Linked DNA regions of Drosophila melanogaster. The protein of the gene in region 3 purifies or fractionates together with the protein of the main gene of each other region. This does not show direct contact. Each region holds a gene or a part of one and is shown on either strand. Other genes may lie near its edges.

The links.
Region 1: the proteins of Atac2 (region 3) and Chrac-14 purify together in Drosophila melanogaster (affinity purification with mass spectrometry; 4 studies listed by BioGRID). This does not show direct contact.
Region 2: the proteins of Atac2 (region 3) and D12 purify together in Drosophila melanogaster (affinity purification with mass spectrometry; 4 studies listed by BioGRID, with this or other methods). This does not show direct contact.
Region 4: the proteins of Atac2 (region 3) and Mocs2B purify together in Drosophila melanogaster (affinity purification with mass spectrometry; 4 studies listed by BioGRID, with this or other methods). This does not show direct contact.

Annotation. Positions count from the first base shown.
Region 1 is NT_033779.5:8,435,475-8,438,554, forward strand, and holds Chrac-14 (chromatin accessibility complex 14kD protein), read left to right. Parts: upstream 1-1,930; 5' UTR 1,931-2,030; coding exon 2,031-2,417; 3' UTR 2,418-2,522; downstream 2,523-3,080. Other genes in the region: D12, read right to left, coding at 1-753, 811-1,701; mus201 (mutagen-sensitive 201), read left to right, coding at 2,902-2,989, 3,053-3,080. UniProt on the Drosophila melanogaster protein: Accessory component of the DNA polymerase epsilon complex. Participates in DNA repair and in chromosomal DNA replication. Histone-like protein which promotes nucleosome sliding of ATP-dependent nucleosome remodeling complexes.
Region 2 is NT_033779.5:8,433,500-8,439,137, reverse strand, and holds D12 (D12), read left to right. Parts: upstream 1-1,772; 5' UTR 1,773-1,962; coding exon 1,963-2,853; intron 2,854-2,910; coding exon 2,911-4,929; 3' UTR 4,930-5,080; downstream 5,081-5,638. Other genes in the region: mus201 (mutagen-sensitive 201), read right to left, coding at 1-366, 436-611, 675-762; Chrac-14 (chromatin accessibility complex 14kD protein), read right to left, coding at 1,247-1,633.
Region 3 is NT_033779.5:18,609,075-18,614,103, reverse strand, and holds Atac2 (Ada2a-containing complex component 2), read left to right. Parts: upstream 1-1,854; 5' UTR 1,855-1,925; coding exon 1,926-2,335; intron 2,336-2,395; coding exon 2,396-2,547; intron 2,548-2,602; coding exon 2,603-2,777; intron 2,778-2,843; coding exon 2,844-4,075; intron 4,076-4,141; coding exon 4,142-4,497; 3' UTR 4,498-4,528; downstream 4,529-5,029. Other genes in the region: CG10333 (uncharacterized protein), read right to left, coding at 4,649-5,029.
Region 4 is NT_033777.3:25,125,096-25,129,080, reverse strand, and holds Mocs2B (molybdenum cofactor synthesis 2B), read left to right. Parts: upstream 1-1,721; 5' UTR 1,722-1,734; coding exon of another isoform or gene 1,735-2,007; 5' UTR 2,008-2,017; coding exon 2,018-2,146; intron 2,147-2,207; coding exon 2,208-2,514; intron 2,515-2,638; coding exon 2,639-2,914; intron 2,915-2,978; coding exon 2,979-3,247; intron 3,248-3,306; coding exon 3,307-3,429; 3' UTR 3,430-3,449; downstream 3,450-3,985. Other genes in the region: Clbn (caliban), read right to left, coding at 1-348, 420-1,149, 1,215-1,270; Mocs2A (molybdenum cofactor synthesis 2A), read left to right, coding at 1,735-2,007; vig2, read right to left, coding at 3,725-3,985. UniProt on the Drosophila melanogaster protein: Catalytic subunit of the molybdopterin synthase complex, a complex that catalyzes the conversion of precursor Z into molybdopterin.

The DNA.
Region 1 (3,080 bases), about 10 Mb from region 3:
TATTGGTGGCCGATCCGACGAGGATTCCTTCCACGCTCTCTGCGGAGATGCCGGTGGATAGTGCTTTACTGGCGAAAACTCCTGCCGCTGCCTTTCTGGCAAGGATTCCTGCCTAGGACTTCGGCCGTTTACTGGCAGATAGACCACAGAAGGCTTCGAAGCGGTGACCTGAGCCGCATTTAACCGAAGTTGAGTCCTAGGAGGCGATGACGGAGTGGGTGGCTGCTTTCTTGGACTGTAGTTTAACTTCAGGGGCTCTGAAACCAACACAGTTGGTTCAATTTTCTCAATGTCGTCGCTGAGTTCAATTTTGTTGATACCAGCAAACAGATTGTCATCAAGTTCCTCCTTATTTTGAGTGATTGAAATGGTGCGCGGTTTGCATGACTCTCCAGGAAAGGCGAAAACCGAAGGCTCTAAAACATTCGGAGCAGCCAGAGGTGGAGCAGGAACTGCAGTCTCCTGTTCATGGGGAGGATGAGGTTTGCCGCTTTTCTGTTTCGTTATCGCCTGTTTTGCTCTCAGCCATATTTCCACAGTGGTCTCTGCGCCCATCGTGTGCAGTCCACACATTGTTTTATCCAGCACCACCGTGTGCATTAGTTGCACGGGTTTCTGCTGCAAGTGCTCTTGGAAAAATAGCTGGATGCGCATCGGAAACTCGCCCCAACCATGTCGGTTAAGCTGAAACGGAGACCTGTGCACGTCCACGATGTCGTTTGGGCGGTATGACGGATGGAGGTGGAAGCGCACCTAGAATTGCGAAGAAGAGATTGAATCACTCCGTACGTGCTTATGGGAATTACTTACCTTTTTAATGTATTTTTCAAGTGGTTCAGGTAGATCTTTGCCTTGCACATAGACCAACCACTTATAGGTCAAAGCATTCCCACCTGTGCCATTCTCTCGAGAGTCTTCGCCAATGTATTTGGAAGTATTACCCACCACGAAGTTGAATTTGTTCTTGTTATTCAGCCGCGAGGCATTCAGCTCCACTTGCCTTTCGTGGGCCTGTCGGCTGGTGCACGGCTGCTCGTCCTCCAACTTAACGGAAATGGGAGGTTCCTGCTCTGGCTGATCTTTTTTGTCCTTGGAGTGATCGGTTACGATGCCCTGCTCCTTGATCTTCTGTTGCCGCCTTCGTTCCGCCCGACGATGAGCCGGATTCCTCAGTCGGATGGTTTCTTTGGCCAAGGTGGCCGCCGTGCGCTCTGGCAAATGATTTTGGATGACAACAGGGCGCTTGCCAACGATTTTTTTAATGGCTGGATGCAGTGGCAGCTGCGGAGCGGCTATGTCGTCCCCAAAAAGGCTGTCGCCGCGCACTTTCGCAATATCCGCGCCGGTGAGGGGGACCTGCTGCTTTCGGTAATATTCGCTGACCACCTGATAGCGTAGTCTGTCCAACAGTTGTCGTCCTTGCAGCAGTCGTCGGTCGATCTCGGCCAGCTGCTCGACCTTCTGAGAGATTTCGCGCTGGAACTCCAGACGAAGCAGCTCCCGGATGCGCTGAAATTTGTCGGACAACGGCAGCATGCCATCCGACTGTTCCGTCTTGGTCCACTTTCTTTGACCGGGCGACTCGGCTTCTGCGCAGGTTTCTTCCTCATCCTGGCTAGAAACTTCCGTTTGCTGATAATCTGGATCGTGGTACTCGCTGTGCCTGCGTTTTTTTGGCGGCGTCGCTTGTTGCTGGTCCATGTGCGTGGTAGCTGGCACACGCACAGGACTTGTATCACGTTAGTTCGGAGGGGAACAGCTTCAAGTTTGGCCCGAATCGCTCCGTGCACATTTAGGCCGGGGTAATTGGCTGTTATTTATAAAAATGTGTAAACAATTGATGCGAACGAGGCGGCGCAAACAGAATTGAGTGGGGGAGTTGCCACATCGCTGGTGTAGATGCGTGCACGCTGGCCTTGTCCAACACTGTTCAGCCAGCTGTTTACTCTTTACGCGGGAAGCAAAGACGCCGAAATCTAGACGGAAAATCAAAAGTGCCCACCAAGTAAAAGCAGATAAGCAGCAGCAAAATGGTCGAGCGCATCGAGGATCTTAACCTGCCGAATGCCGTGATTGGCCGGCTCATCAAGGAAGCACTGCCGGAGTCAGCTAGTGTCAGCAAGGAAGCGCGAGCAGCGATCGCCCGAGCGGCATCTGTGTTTGCCATCTTCGTGACATCCTCGTCGACGGCGTTGGCCCACAAGCAGAACCACAAGACCATCACGGCCAAGGATATTCTACAGACCCTCACCGAGCTAGACTTCGAAAGCTTCGTGCCCTCTCTGACGCAGGATCTCGAGGTCTATCGTAAAGTGGTCAAGGAGAAAAAGGAGAGCAAGGCCAGCAAGAAGGATTCCAACACTGCCGAAAATGCCAACGCCAGTGCCACCGCAACAGCAGAGGAAGCCCCCGAGTGATTACGAATAGGAGAAACTATACGGATCAATTATCCTCTTCAGTCATTAAGAACAAAGCTAGTATTGAGCATTAACAAAAAACATTAAACATAGGCATTATCTAAGAACTTCACTTGTGTTTTGTCACTTTCCTCAAAGACTAAATTATGTTGTTAGTCAACGTTTACATGGGATTAATTTGGGATTGTAAGTGACGGTTGGAATTACACCCTTAAATAATGCCGCATTTCAATCCAGTCCGATCTAGTTTTTTACGCCTTCATTCAAAGTATATAAAGGTGTCAGAATAATATTTAAGTATTTCAGTAATTATTTGTTTATATATGTGATCAGAAAATCACTGTTTTAAAAATCATCCAGATAGATAACCGCGTGTTCTTTCCAGCACTGGAAACAGCTGTTTAAAAAAGCGCGTCTTATCGCAACAAAAAGTTTAGTTAGTTATTATTTTGCATGTTTTATACAATTAATATTTTAGTAGAAAATGGGAGTTACGGGCTTGTGGAAGCTCATTGAGCCGTGCGGCAAGCCAGTCCCCGTAGAGACTTTGGAGGGCAAAATCCTAGCAGTGGGTAAGCATCGTTTTTCGCCACCTAATGAAATACTTGCTGATTGGAGTACTTTTCGTCCTGCAGATATATCGATTTGGTTGCATCAGGTTGT
Region 2 (5,638 bases), about 10 Mb from region 3:
CACATCGGCTGGCAGATTCCGAAAATGCTGACTCTTTACATCGATGGCCTGTAAGCTAGAGTTGTAAGAATGTCGAGCGGTTGACTCGTCAAAGGAGCTGTCTGAGGCACTGGCACTGGTGTCCTGCTCGCTTTCATCTTGATTATCTTGCACCGATGCAGCCGGCAGTTCGGGAAGCTTAAACAAGTCATCCTCGTCGTTCTTCTTAGCTGGAGGCGGTCGCTTAACCGGGGATTTCAACAGTAGCTCTGCATTCTTGCCCAGCGCTTGCTGCACTACTTTTTCTTTGGCCAGGGATTGAAGGAGCAAAGCCTGAATGCGATCAGCTTCGTTGCTGAGCTTATTCCTCTGCTGCTGGCGACGTGCCTGAAGGGGTGACATAAAGAGGATTTAATTTAGAGAGTGAATTTGATATATTCCCCTATTATAACTCACAATAGTGTCCCTTTTAAGCTGCGGCACGCATCCATCGAAAATGAAAACCGGTCGCACACGATAGTATAGCAATTTACAGAGACGATGGAATAGACCCAGTAAATGGGCATTACTCAGGGCCGATCCCTTGTTGTCCTGAAAGCCCTTCACAACCTGATGCAACCAAATCGATATATCTGCAGGACGAAAAGTACTCCAATCAGCAAGTATTTCATTAGGTGGCGAAAAACGATGCTTACCCACTGCTAGGATTTTGCCCTCCAAAGTCTCTACGGGGACTGGCTTGCCGCACGGCTCAATGAGCTTCCACAAGCCCGTAACTCCCATTTTCTACTAAAATATTAATTGTATAAAACATGCAAAATAATAACTAACTAAACTTTTTGTTGCGATAAGACGCGCTTTTTTAAACAGCTGTTTCCAGTGCTGGAAAGAACACGCGGTTATCTATCTGGATGATTTTTAAAACAGTGATTTTCTGATCACATATATAAACAAATAATTACTGAAATACTTAAATATTATTCTGACACCTTTATATACTTTGAATGAAGGCGTAAAAAACTAGATCGGACTGGATTGAAATGCGGCATTATTTAAGGGTGTAATTCCAACCGTCACTTACAATCCCAAATTAATCCCATGTAAACGTTGACTAACAACATAATTTAGTCTTTGAGGAAAGTGACAAAACACAAGTGAAGTTCTTAGATAATGCCTATGTTTAATGTTTTTTGTTAATGCTCAATACTAGCTTTGTTCTTAATGACTGAAGAGGATAATTGATCCGTATAGTTTCTCCTATTCGTAATCACTCGGGGGCTTCCTCTGCTGTTGCGGTGGCACTGGCGTTGGCATTTTCGGCAGTGTTGGAATCCTTCTTGCTGGCCTTGCTCTCCTTTTTCTCCTTGACCACTTTACGATAGACCTCGAGATCCTGCGTCAGAGAGGGCACGAAGCTTTCGAAGTCTAGCTCGGTGAGGGTCTGTAGAATATCCTTGGCCGTGATGGTCTTGTGGTTCTGCTTGTGGGCCAACGCCGTCGACGAGGATGTCACGAAGATGGCAAACACAGATGCCGCTCGGGCGATCGCTGCTCGCGCTTCCTTGCTGACACTAGCTGACTCCGGCAGTGCTTCCTTGATGAGCCGGCCAATCACGGCATTCGGCAGGTTAAGATCCTCGATGCGCTCGACCATTTTGCTGCTGCTTATCTGCTTTTACTTGGTGGGCACTTTTGATTTTCCGTCTAGATTTCGGCGTCTTTGCTTCCCGCGTAAAGAGTAAACAGCTGGCTGAACAGTGTTGGACAAGGCCAGCGTGCACGCATCTACACCAGCGATGTGGCAACTCCCCCACTCAATTCTGTTTGCGCCGCCTCGTTCGCATCAATTGTTTACACATTTTTATAAATAACAGCCAATTACCCCGGCCTAAATGTGCACGGAGCGATTCGGGCCAAACTTGAAGCTGTTCCCCTCCGAACTAACGTGATACAAGTCCTGTGCGTGTGCCAGCTACCACGCACATGGACCAGCAACAAGCGACGCCGCCAAAAAAACGCAGGCACAGCGAGTACCACGATCCAGATTATCAGCAAACGGAAGTTTCTAGCCAGGATGAGGAAGAAACCTGCGCAGAAGCCGAGTCGCCCGGTCAAAGAAAGTGGACCAAGACGGAACAGTCGGATGGCATGCTGCCGTTGTCCGACAAATTTCAGCGCATCCGGGAGCTGCTTCGTCTGGAGTTCCAGCGCGAAATCTCTCAGAAGGTCGAGCAGCTGGCCGAGATCGACCGACGACTGCTGCAAGGACGACAACTGTTGGACAGACTACGCTATCAGGTGGTCAGCGAATATTACCGAAAGCAGCAGGTCCCCCTCACCGGCGCGGATATTGCGAAAGTGCGCGGCGACAGCCTTTTTGGGGACGACATAGCCGCTCCGCAGCTGCCACTGCATCCAGCCATTAAAAAAATCGTTGGCAAGCGCCCTGTTGTCATCCAAAATCATTTGCCAGAGCGCACGGCGGCCACCTTGGCCAAAGAAACCATCCGACTGAGGAATCCGGCTCATCGTCGGGCGGAACGAAGGCGGCAACAGAAGATCAAGGAGCAGGGCATCGTAACCGATCACTCCAAGGACAAAAAAGATCAGCCAGAGCAGGAACCTCCCATTTCCGTTAAGTTGGAGGACGAGCAGCCGTGCACCAGCCGACAGGCCCACGAAAGGCAAGTGGAGCTGAATGCCTCGCGGCTGAATAACAAGAACAAATTCAACTTCGTGGTGGGTAATACTTCCAAATACATTGGCGAAGACTCTCGAGAGAATGGCACAGGTGGGAATGCTTTGACCTATAAGTGGTTGGTCTATGTGCAAGGCAAAGATCTACCTGAACCACTTGAAAAATACATTAAAAAGGTAAGTAATTCCCATAAGCACGTACGGAGTGATTCAATCTCTTCTTCGCAATTCTAGGTGCGCTTCCACCTCCATCCGTCATACCGCCCAAACGACATCGTGGACGTGCACAGGTCTCCGTTTCAGCTTAACCGACATGGTTGGGGCGAGTTTCCGATGCGCATCCAGCTATTTTTCCAAGAGCACTTGCAGCAGAAACCCGTGCAACTAATGCACACGGTGGTGCTGGATAAAACAATGTGTGGACTGCACACGATGGGCGCAGAGACCACTGTGGAAATATGGCTGAGAGCAAAACAGGCGATAACGAAACAGAAAAGCGGCAAACCTCATCCTCCCCATGAACAGGAGACTGCAGTTCCTGCTCCACCTCTGGCTGCTCCGAATGTTTTAGAGCCTTCGGTTTTCGCCTTTCCTGGAGAGTCATGCAAACCGCGCACCATTTCAATCACTCAAAATAAGGAGGAACTTGATGACAATCTGTTTGCTGGTATCAACAAAATTGAACTCAGCGACGACATTGAGAAAATTGAACCAACTGTGTTGGTTTCAGAGCCCCTGAAGTTAAACTACAGTCCAAGAAAGCAGCCACCCACTCCGTCATCGCCTCCTAGGACTCAACTTCGGTTAAATGCGGCTCAGGTCACCGCTTCGAAGCCTTCTGTGGTCTATCTGCCAGTAAACGGCCGAAGTCCTAGGCAGGAATCCTTGCCAGAAAGGCAGCGGCAGGAGTTTTCGCCAGTAAAGCACTATCCACCGGCATCTCCGCAGAGAGCGTGGAAGGAATCCTCGTCGGATCGGCCACCAATAAAGCCTGTGCCCAATGGCCATCACCAGGGCAAGAAGAATGTTGTGTTTCAGAGAGCAGGAAAGCTGTACATTATCGATCCCTTGCAGCGCAAGCTTAAGCAGGCTGCAAAGCAACAATCCCTGCTGAAACCACAATTGAGTCTTCTTAAGCCACCGTCAGAAACGCGATGGCATATGCTGCAGTGCATGCAGCACGATCATGGGTACGCCAACATGAGCGGCGAGATGGAGGAAAAGCCAATGCTGTTACCTCCAATTGTGGACACTACCATACAATCGCGACCCCGAAGGCTGGAGCACATCTTTAGAAGTGCACAATTCCGAAATATGCGCAGTGCTGTGGAGTTCCTGCTGAGCCGCCTCCCGCTTGCGTCGATTGATCAGCAAAAGGAGTATCCATTCACTTGTATAACCCTCGAAGAGTTCCACAATCACACTGCTCTAAAACAACGTTGCTTTGAGTACCTGCGCGCACGTATGCTCCGTCGCTGTCTGATGCAGCACCACGAGCTGCATAAGTTGGACATTAGTGGAAAGGAACACTACTGGAGTTTACGGGAGATAGTGGCGTTCGCCAGGGTTCATGGTTATACGCCAGCTCTCAAAGATGTTTTACCTGTCGTGCATGAAAAGAGAAAACAAAAACTGAGCGATGAGGAGCAACTGGCTCGGCGTGTTCAGGCGCAACTAAAGGGCGAGCCCCAACCGCAACTGTCGGCCTATAGCAGTCTCAGCTCAGGCAATCGGCTGGAAGCTTGGATAACCAAGCAATCCGATCGTCTGCTTGGTCATGATCAACAGATGCGGGATAAGGAGTTCATCGATGTGTTGGGTGTGGACAAACCTCATCCGCTTGCGTCCAGGTTAACAAACTCAGCAGATGTATCTTTCCAAATGGTGAATCATCGCCAACTACTTTATCTACCTCCGCCGAAGCACTTGGATTCGACCTTGCAGCTGGTCCAGGAAATGTGCAAGGACATTAATATCACACTGGAACCGGAGGAATCTCCGCCTGGCGTCTCCCAGCCACTGGCTCTCTCGATGCTCGGACAAGTGCTGCGCACTTTTATTGAGAAATTGGTGCGCCGCTCCTTGGCGGCGAAACTGCAACAGGAGACTTTGGAACAGTTGCCACCGGCGGCGGCCAATGCTCCGTTGTGTCTCCAACCTCAGGACATAGGCCGTGTCATCAGTCTGTGTTCCGAATTGGATTTCCTCGGAAACAGTCACTTGGGAGTTGCTCCGATAGAACCACAAATCTAATGTGCAGTTGCCATTGTTTTGAATTTATTTTTTATCAAGTCCGCGTCATAGTTCAAATTCTACTGGGATATTAGTTGATATCTAATTAGAGCCTTGTACTCGTTGGTAAGCATAAATCTAAGCAATAAATTAACTAAATTAATGTCCGAAGAAATGAATACTGCGTTTTTAATTATCAACGATTATCATATTTTGGACGAAATCATGAGATGAGTGGTCATTAATTTTTAAATTTTGAATATCTGGCTGAAGACTTTTAAATTGTTTTATCAATATAAATAATAATCGCTACAATTGCATATTTGTACGAAACATGTAAACATTTTTAAGTCTTATCAGCTATCTTCACAGAGTAATATATCTTTATAGTGCCCTAGAAGTATGCAGTGAAAAGTGCCGTTAACAAATTGAATAACTGTTAAAGGGCGGTTTTTTTTTGCAGCTCTTAGCATATCCATATGATTCTTCGACTATTATCGGTCGCAATCGCATCTCTTTTGGGGGCGCTCTCTTCGCTCTCCCCGCTCACCGATCGATTTCATTCATGGCGCATGCCAATGCCGCCAATGTAGGGATGAGGTCCATCTGTTTCTCTGGCTCTGTTTTCCTCAGTCTCTTTTCCGACGTGCGCGCAACAAGACCTAAAATCAAAGTGGAGCAGAGAAGAGCCCGCTTCCCGCGCTTGCTGCTCTTTAGATTAACTAATTAA
Region 3 (5,029 bases):
TTTGCCCCTCACGATGGGGGGATGCCCCCATATCCTTCCCTTACTTTTCCCTTTGTGCCAGGACCTGGCCTTAAATCGTTCGGAAAACGGTCAAGCCATGGCCGTGGAGCTAAGGTGCAATAAGTCTGGTGATTGAGAGCAAATACGGTTGTTATGAACAAAATGGGTGGCCAAACAAATTCTAACCAGCATCGCATCTGTAAATGTCATAATCAGCTAGTAAACGACTATCCAATTTGTCAAGCTCTTTCCAGAAAATATTTACCCTCGAGCTTTAAGTGATTTATGAGTGAAACTCATTTTAACTTTCGCAAAACTAAGATATAGATATACTTTAAAACATAATTCGGGGATATACTTTTGGCTGTAGTAGCACCAACAAATTAATTTGTTTCACCATATTTTTCGCTCTTTTCGACTTGCCAGCGGGCAGTCGCGAATTAAATGAAAATCTCCTCGAGGCGCCAGACAAGCAAGTTGAAAGGAATTCAACTACAGATATTAAAGGCAGGGAAGAACTTGAAGTGCAATATTCAAATTGAATTGAAAACGATGAGTGTTGAAGTGAAATCGTAAATAGGTGCATATCCTGTAAGATGCACAAACTGCATGCTTTGCAGTAATAATCATTCGGCAAATAGAAAGTGATTTACAAAAGAAACAATTGTGGATCCGTTCAGCTTTGGTTCTCAACTGAATACCCCACTTAGCCGGCCTGCAGTTTCGACCATCCCACTTCAGTCCATAAACCAATCATGCACTTCATCAAACACACAACAACAGCAGAAGCAGAAGCAGAAGCAACAGCTTCGCCAGAACGCAGCAGCCGGCGATGCCTAATTAGGCCCGCTTAAGACAACACACTGACCGGGCCAAAAGCAATGGGGCCAGGTCCGATGGTCGATGGTCTGCCGGAAACAGCCTTAATTATGCGTAAGCCGTAAAGAGCCCATTAATGTCATTTTCGTTGCATGGCCAAAGGACGCTGGGCGTTGGGTGGTGGGTGGTGGGCGTTGGTACTAATGTGCTTGGTGGGCGTAGGGCGTGACAAACGCATGCTTGATCAAGCGAAACGGGACTGTACTAATCAAGCGGATTCTTATCTTCTAGATAGGGAGAACATAAAAAACAATCGGGATCTTTTATATAGTGTATATAAGGGCATAAGGATATGCTAGATTCGTTGAAAAGTAGGTAACTGGCATAAGAAATAACAAAAGAAAAAGTCATTCCCGACAGTATTAAGCATATATATGTAATCAGGATCAGTGGACGAGTCGATTAAAACGTGTCCTTCTGTTCGTCCGTATAAGCGCTGTGATCTCGGGAACTTAAAAGTTAGGAAGCTAAGATGGAGCAATCAGATTCTAGACATGTAGACGCATCACAGTTTGTTTCAGAAGAATGCCACGCCCACTCTAACGCCCACCAAGAGCTCAAAACTTTTAAAAAGTGTTTTGATATTTGCTTGCAATTTCTAAAAATGTGACAAGAAAATGTTGAATACACCTGAGAAGAGGGTATATAATATGCGAAGACCATAGCCTTGTCTCTGTTCCATATTAATTAAAAATGCTTATTTATGACATTTTAACAATAAAAAATTATTTTAAATTATGTTAATGCTGACATCTTCGGCATTTTAAAACGGCAATGTTAATAAATAAATAAGTGCTTAATAATAATATGTTTTGTAGTGCTTCAGAAAAGATCAATTAAGAATACAAATTAATTTTATTTTTTGTTTTCCCAATTCAAATTATTGACAAATTTGAACCGAGCACAGTGCGATTTTTTGGTATTTTCAAAATGTAAGCTTCTCATATATATGGTATAAACCAAAAAGTGCGAAACGGTAACACACAAACAACACATTATTTTGTTGATTGTTTTTAACTTGCAATTTGTGCTGTTTTACTGAGTAAATGAATCGGCCCAGTAACTGGGATGATCCCCAGGGACCATGCCGCTACTGTGAATCGCCGGTGGAGGACGACAACTACCTGGAGTGCCAGGAATGCAGGCGGATGGTTCACATCAAATGCCTGCCGCATGCTTGCACGCCCGGAGATCTTTTAGGCGACGTTTTCTTCGAGTTCACGTGCGTCAAGTGTGTGCTGGATAAAGCTAAGGAATCGGTCATACCCTCAGATCTAGAACCCATTAAGGAAGTGATCGTGCGCCAAAGGATACCTTGGCTGCTGGTGCTCACCCTAACGCTCTACAATCTGTCCATCAAACAAAAGGGCTTGGGACACCATGGATTCTTCCATTGGCGCACGCACATCATCAGTTTTGTGGACAAGAACTGGAACTATATATTCGGTCCCAATGTGTAAGTATTCGTAAATGAATAATTTCCGGAGAACACATTCAATTTATTCCCCTTGTTCAGGCGGCGTCGCAAGCAATGGACTGGTTCCGTATCCGGCGCACTGTCCCACAACAGTCCGGAGTACTTTCAGTCTGGTCTGGATGTCTTTCAGGAGAACGGCTGGTGGAAACTGGCCAAGCCCTTTCAAACCCCAAGAAGCGTTCTCAAAGAATGTAAGTGCCACTTAAGTTAATGATATGATAGATTTCACAAGTCGTCACATTTCAGATGAGAAAAAGCAACAGTTGCGGCTACAAATGCGTATTGAAAAGCGGTTGCCTGCAGCGGACGAGACCAGCTGTAGCAGCGAGATCTCAGTGGCGGATCATGCCCAGGATAACCCACCGCTTATTAAAGCAGAAGCTGAGAAACCCAGTTCAACAGAGGGCTGTGCGCGAACAATGTAAGATAATTAATTTTGAATACAACTATGCGTTCCTTTCATTAAAATCTTTCACTTTTATTCCAGTCCCTACATGGGCCGTTTGCCAAAGATACAAACACAACCTTCACCCTTGTCACAGGAAACGCTTCCAGGGCCACCAATTCTTCAAGAAAATATAGCGCCACCAAGTCAGAAGGAGGAAGAACCACAGAATCAGCCTATGAGCATGGTCCAAGCAGGCCTGATGGATTTTCTGGCTGAAAGTTTGGAAAGCGATGATTTTACCATGTTTGGTAACCTACCAGGCATAATGCCCCCACCCCTGATTGGAGCGGGTAAAAATGATTTCTTCATGACCGAGCCGTTGCTTCACGCACCTTTGAATAATGAAGGTCTTTTCGACATGGATACAAATTTTGCCATACCAAATACCGCTGATGAGACCAAACCCATATCAACAGAAGAACCTGCAGCCGAAAGCAGCGAGGAACAAAAAGAAGGCGAGGTAGAAGATGAAAAGCCAGAAGAGGACGAATCACCCGACTATCAGCCACGCATCGTACAGGTTACAAATTACCAGGCGCAAGAGGCAAACGAAAGCATCAAAGAGGAACCACTAGAAGAGATAATGCAAGATGATGACGTCACGACAAATAGCAAATCCTCTATCCTAGAGCCTTGCAAACCGAGTGGATTTGTCAGACAACCACGGCGAAATTGGCCCTGGTTGCAGGAGGCGCAGGATCCCGATGACATGGCCATTCCTAGCGAAAATCTCAAACTAATAAATGCATACGAAGAACAGAAGTTGTACCAGCGACTCGATAGAATATTCGCACTGGAGCATCAGTGCCACATATCCATACCTGCCTATGTGCGGCGCCTATATCGAAAACTTTCTCTTCGAAAATGGAAAAGGGACCACAATCGACACATATTTAACTTGGACGAGCACATAGATCCCCTGGGAAGAGCACGCCTAAAGATGCTGGGTCATCAGAAGGCCGAAATTCTTGACAGATATCAGTTGTTAGCCCATTCACGACAAGATGCAAGGAGCTCCTTTCACGCCCGCCTGGCGGGATGCACTCAATACGAGCTCTTTGAATCGCCCTACTCTCAAAGAGTTCTTCATCCATTTATCTTTCGGAGCGAAACGATGGCTCCTCCATGGCTGAAGCTTATGTGCGAGCTGCAGCATAGAGTAAACGGATCTCATCCCACAAGATCTACCATCGACTTCTGTTTTGTGAGACCGCAGCATATTCCGGCCGTAAACGCATTACTCCAAAGTACTTTTTGGCCAAACATTGATGGTGGGTTTCATGATTTTCTTTTTAGCTTTTTTAATGTACAAATTTGTATGATTTTTTCCCTTTTAGTAAGCGAGTGTTTGAGCTACCCGGACTACAGTGTAGTGGCGTTGTACAAGAAACTGGTCATCGGTTGCGGATTCCTAGTGCCCGACGTAGGTTACAACGAGGCCTACATCTCATTCATGGCGGTGCGGCCGTGCTGGCAACGCAGTGGCATCGCCAGCTTCATGTTATATCACCTTATCCAGACATGTATGTCCAAGGACATAACGTTGCACGTTTCCGCCACCAACGCGGCCGTCATGTTGTACCAGAAATTCGGATTTAAGATGGAGGAAATCATCTTGGACTTTTATGACAAGTATCTGCCTCTGGACTCGAAACAGAGCAGAAATGCCTTCTTTTTGAGATTACAAAGATGAGACTTTTTTCAAATAAATGGTTTATGAATCTAAAGTTTCAAAAGACTATTTCGAAAGAGAATTTTTGGTTGCCAAGGTATGGCTTTGGCGCACCCAACTTTATTAGTTTTAAATTTTAACCTAAAGTAGTTCTGCTTAGAATTTGCCAAATTTAGGCGAATATTTTTTCCTCCCTGCGCTTTTTGGTAACCACCGTGCCAGGCTTGTGCTGCGCTTCCGGGTGATTCATTAGCTCCGGCGGACAGGTCGAGACAGGACTTGCAGACACACATTGCTTTAGATCGTAGAACAAAGCGCTATCGTCCTTGGTGACAAACGAAATGGCACAACCGGTTTTGCCGGCACGACCCGTACGACCGATACGATGTGTGTAATCCTCGATGGTCTTGGCCATGTCATAGTTAATAACCAAGGACACGTCCTTGATGTCGATACCACGACCAGCGACGTCGGTGGCCACCAGGATGTCCTTTGCGCCTGACTTCAAAGCAGCCAAAGCATACTCTCTCTGCTCCTGACCCTTGCCACCGTG
Region 4 (3,985 bases), on a different chromosome or scaffold from region 3:
TGCTTTCTTTCTGTCCACATCTTGGACTTTTGTCAATTCCTCTAGACGCTTTGCGTGGTCATTCTTGACATTAGACAGCTTTTTTAGTGCCTCACGCTCTTGCTGTAGCGTTTTCATGTCAATCTTTTGCGACTCTTGCGTAGAGTAAAATTCATCAACGGCTTCCATAAAGGACTCAAATGTGGCCTTTTCAAAGTTTTTGAATTGAATAAAGAGGTAGGGATGAAATTCGATGTTTCTAAAGAAAAACTCCACCGTTCCATTCTCTGTAGGCTTTTCCTCTTTAACTTGAATAATGTAGCCTTTACTTTTTCCACTATTTCCCTCAGCTATAAGCTCTTGAGCATCCTAAAAGATTGCACAGAACGTTTTATTTACTTTAACAGCAATAATAAATATTTCCACGATATTGTTCTTACCTTTACTGCTTGCTGAAGAATTGGCAAGTCATTAACCATGTCAAATGGTTTCTGTTCCAGTTTCGTATTCTGTTGCTTCTTACGTTGCTTTTTACCGCCCTTCTCCGGCTTGTCCTCCGCCTCCGGCGTTTCTTCCGTTGTTTCCTTTTTGATAACGTGATTGTCCAAGCCGTGTGAGAGGAGAACATGCTCTATAACTGCCGGACCACAGTCCAAGTTGGGTGTTAGAATCTGTCGCAAATAGTCGCCGTTCCTGGCATTTTCCAACAGCTTAACCAAAGCTTCCAGTTCCAGTTCCTTCGTGGGCTGTTTGGCCCGTTCCACGGGATATTTCTCGCGCATGGCGAAGCGCAGGTTCTCGCCCTCCGTATGCGGACGCAAAATATATAACGTGGTCAGCTCGTAGTCGGTGAGGATCACATTACCACGATCGTAGAGCTCCAAAATAACATGGTAGGCGGCATCACCGGTACCGAACTGAAAGTCAACAATACGATCGCTACCCATCTGTTGAACCTTTTCCAGGCGCTTGTTCTTCAAGTGCTTCCTCAACTTCATGCTGAAACCGGACGGAGCCATGTTCTTGGGCCATTCGAACCTAGTGGTATGGAATCTTGTACCAGATTCTATTAGCAGAGTGACCTTCTCCACTGCACCGGTCCCTTGCATCCGGAAGAGGTAGGTCTTGTTATCCACGTCATAGATCTGATTCACTCGCCAGCCGACCAGCCTGGAATATAAATGTAGATGTACCATTATTCCTGGGCATCGGAATTATCCGGATTTTTTACATACTTTTGCAGTTCCGCCACTCCGCAGATTATATCGAAGGTATTGAAACGTGTCTTCATGGTTCTTTATGGAAAGTTGACGATGTCAACACGGAAAGTGAAGAAAAAAGAATCTATCTGGCAACTTAACTTATCATTAAATATTCACAAGTTCGCTATCTACGTTAGATAAGTTAAATTAGTTTAATAGGGAATAATAACAATTTTATTCACTTGCGAAATTAAGTATCGGTGTAAATTGCGATGGACGAACTTTAAACAAAATATATCGATTGTATGCTGTTGATGATTCGGATTGTCAGAATGAATTCGCTGTATAATTACTATGTATTAAATATTTGTATTGTTTATGCAATGAGTAAGAAGCTTCTTTGATTTATCTAAAAAGTTATTAAGCATTTAATAAAGTTTCAGTCAGCTGTTTCCCTTTCCGTGGACTATTCCACTTCGTTCCGATAAGAAATCGATACATAGGTAGTCGGAAAATGGAACTGCTGTGTCATCGCCAATCTTCATTTGTAAATATGAATGCGGATGGACCTGTTGTCAACGTGCACGTGTTGTTCTTTGCTAAATCCCGTGAATTAGCAAACACTCCCCGGTCGACAGTGGAAGTTCCTACTGAAATTACTGCCACCGAACTGCTGGACCACCTGGTGTCCAAATTTGGCCTGACCTCCATCCGGGATAACTTGATTTTGGCCCACAACGAGTCGTACATTGACAACCTGAGTGATAGAATTCTGTTTAAGGAAGGAGACGAACTCGCCATCATACCGCCACTGAGTGGAGGCTAACCTTTCCGCCATGGATCACGTGAAATTGGTAAACGACCCCATAGATATCGCTCATATCCATCAGTTGCTGGCCGATGAAGGCTGTGGAGCCTCATCCGTTTTCGTGGGCACTACGCGCGATAATTTTCAAGGGAAAAAGGTGGCTTCATTATCTCAATCAATTGATTTCATTGATTCATTTGTACTTTTCGACCTTTCAGGTGCTGTCATTGGCGTACGAGGCCTACGATAGCATGGCACTCAAGGAAATGAATAAAATATGCTCAGATCTCCGATCTAAGTGGCTCGATCTGAAGCACATAGTCATATATCATCGATTGGGAACAGTGCCCGTATGCGAAGCCAGTGTAGTTATAGCCGCCTCGTCACCACATCGTTCTGAGGCCTTAGAATCAGTATCTTTTGCAATAGACCAGCTAAAAACTCGGGTTCCCATCTGGAAAAAGGAAATCTACGACGGCGATAACGACAGCGAATGGAAGGAGAACAAGGAGTCCATCAGGCCTAGTAAGATCTTATGAGTAGCCAGCATGACATGTATTCTTATTATTTGTACACTTGTAAATATAATTAACAATCGAGCGTTTACGATTTTATTGGCTTCTCTCTCATCTGTGCATGTACATTGTAGAGAAATCGAAAAGTGGCTTCAACTACGCCGCTTGTCCCTGCAAAGTTGAGGAGTCACATGACGTCCCGCGAACTCTGGTGCAAATTAGAGTTAATGACGCTGAGTTAACCAAGCGTTTAGAATGTTTTGTCAACAGAAAACGAGACGAAATAAACTCACAAAATGTAATTGACTTCAAATCGTCTTTTGTCAGCTCAGACCAAAACTTGAGCGATTCCTGCGCTCGAACGCAGAGCACAATTATTAAGCAGGAGCAGTCAAATTGCCATTTAAAAGGTGGGTAAACGATGCTCTATTTTCATAACTATAGCCACTTTGGTCTACAAACAACCTATCACAGTCCGACGAGTAAACAACCGATGCGGACCTCAGCAAATGGAAATGCGACCCAACTACGAACTCGAACTGAATAAACTAATGGGATCGCGTGACGGTCAAACGGATCCAACCAAAGAAATGAGGAAATCGCTACCCAATTCACGACTACAGGCAATTGAATCGTACATGGGTCTAACCACCGACAACGAGGAAAACATTTTCAGTAGAATCAAACGAGTGGAAAATAGACTGCTGCAACTGGAGTCCATTTCGCCCGAGTACAGACACTTCGTAGGTTCTTAAAACATTTCCTGTAATTGCAGTTCTAAAAAAATTCAATCTATTCTCAGACCAAACGTGAACCGTCATCTATGGAAGCCGCGCCGCCGAAGAAGAGCCGAAAGAAATCGTATTCGGCGCAAGAATTAAGTGCATTCATTCAAAAGATTAAGGATGGCAGCGAATTAAGCTAATAAAAACCTAATTAATTATTATTCCTTGGTTTGTAATTGATGTAAATTTATTTCAACATTCCAACTATTTGTAATAGTTTTTTTTATGCGTAAATGATGAGAGTGAAAAATGCAAAAATTTTTGTTTACAACTAAGGAATATGGATAAGCGTGGCTGATTTGTTTCTGTTTATTAATCGGTCGTCAAGCTTCATAGATCGCGCCCGAAAATCTAATGGTTATTTGTTAACCGAAGGACCAGCTTACTAATTATTTAATACGCGAAATTATTAAATCTTATTGTTGTTCTCAACTCCTAGCACAGAGTGGGGAATTGAGCTTCATCGTCAACCTTCAGTGGCTTCTGGGCGGAGCGGCGTTTCTCTCCGAATCTGTTGTTGTCTTGTCTGTTTTCATAGCCGTTGCTGGGTCCGTTGTTAAAGCGGGGACCACGGAATCCCTCTCCACGCGGTCCGTCATTGCGGTAGCCTTCTCCACGCGGTCCCTCATTGCGTGGACCCTCTCCGCGAGGTCCGTCGTTGCGATAACCACCTTCTCCGCGAGGTCCGTCATTGCG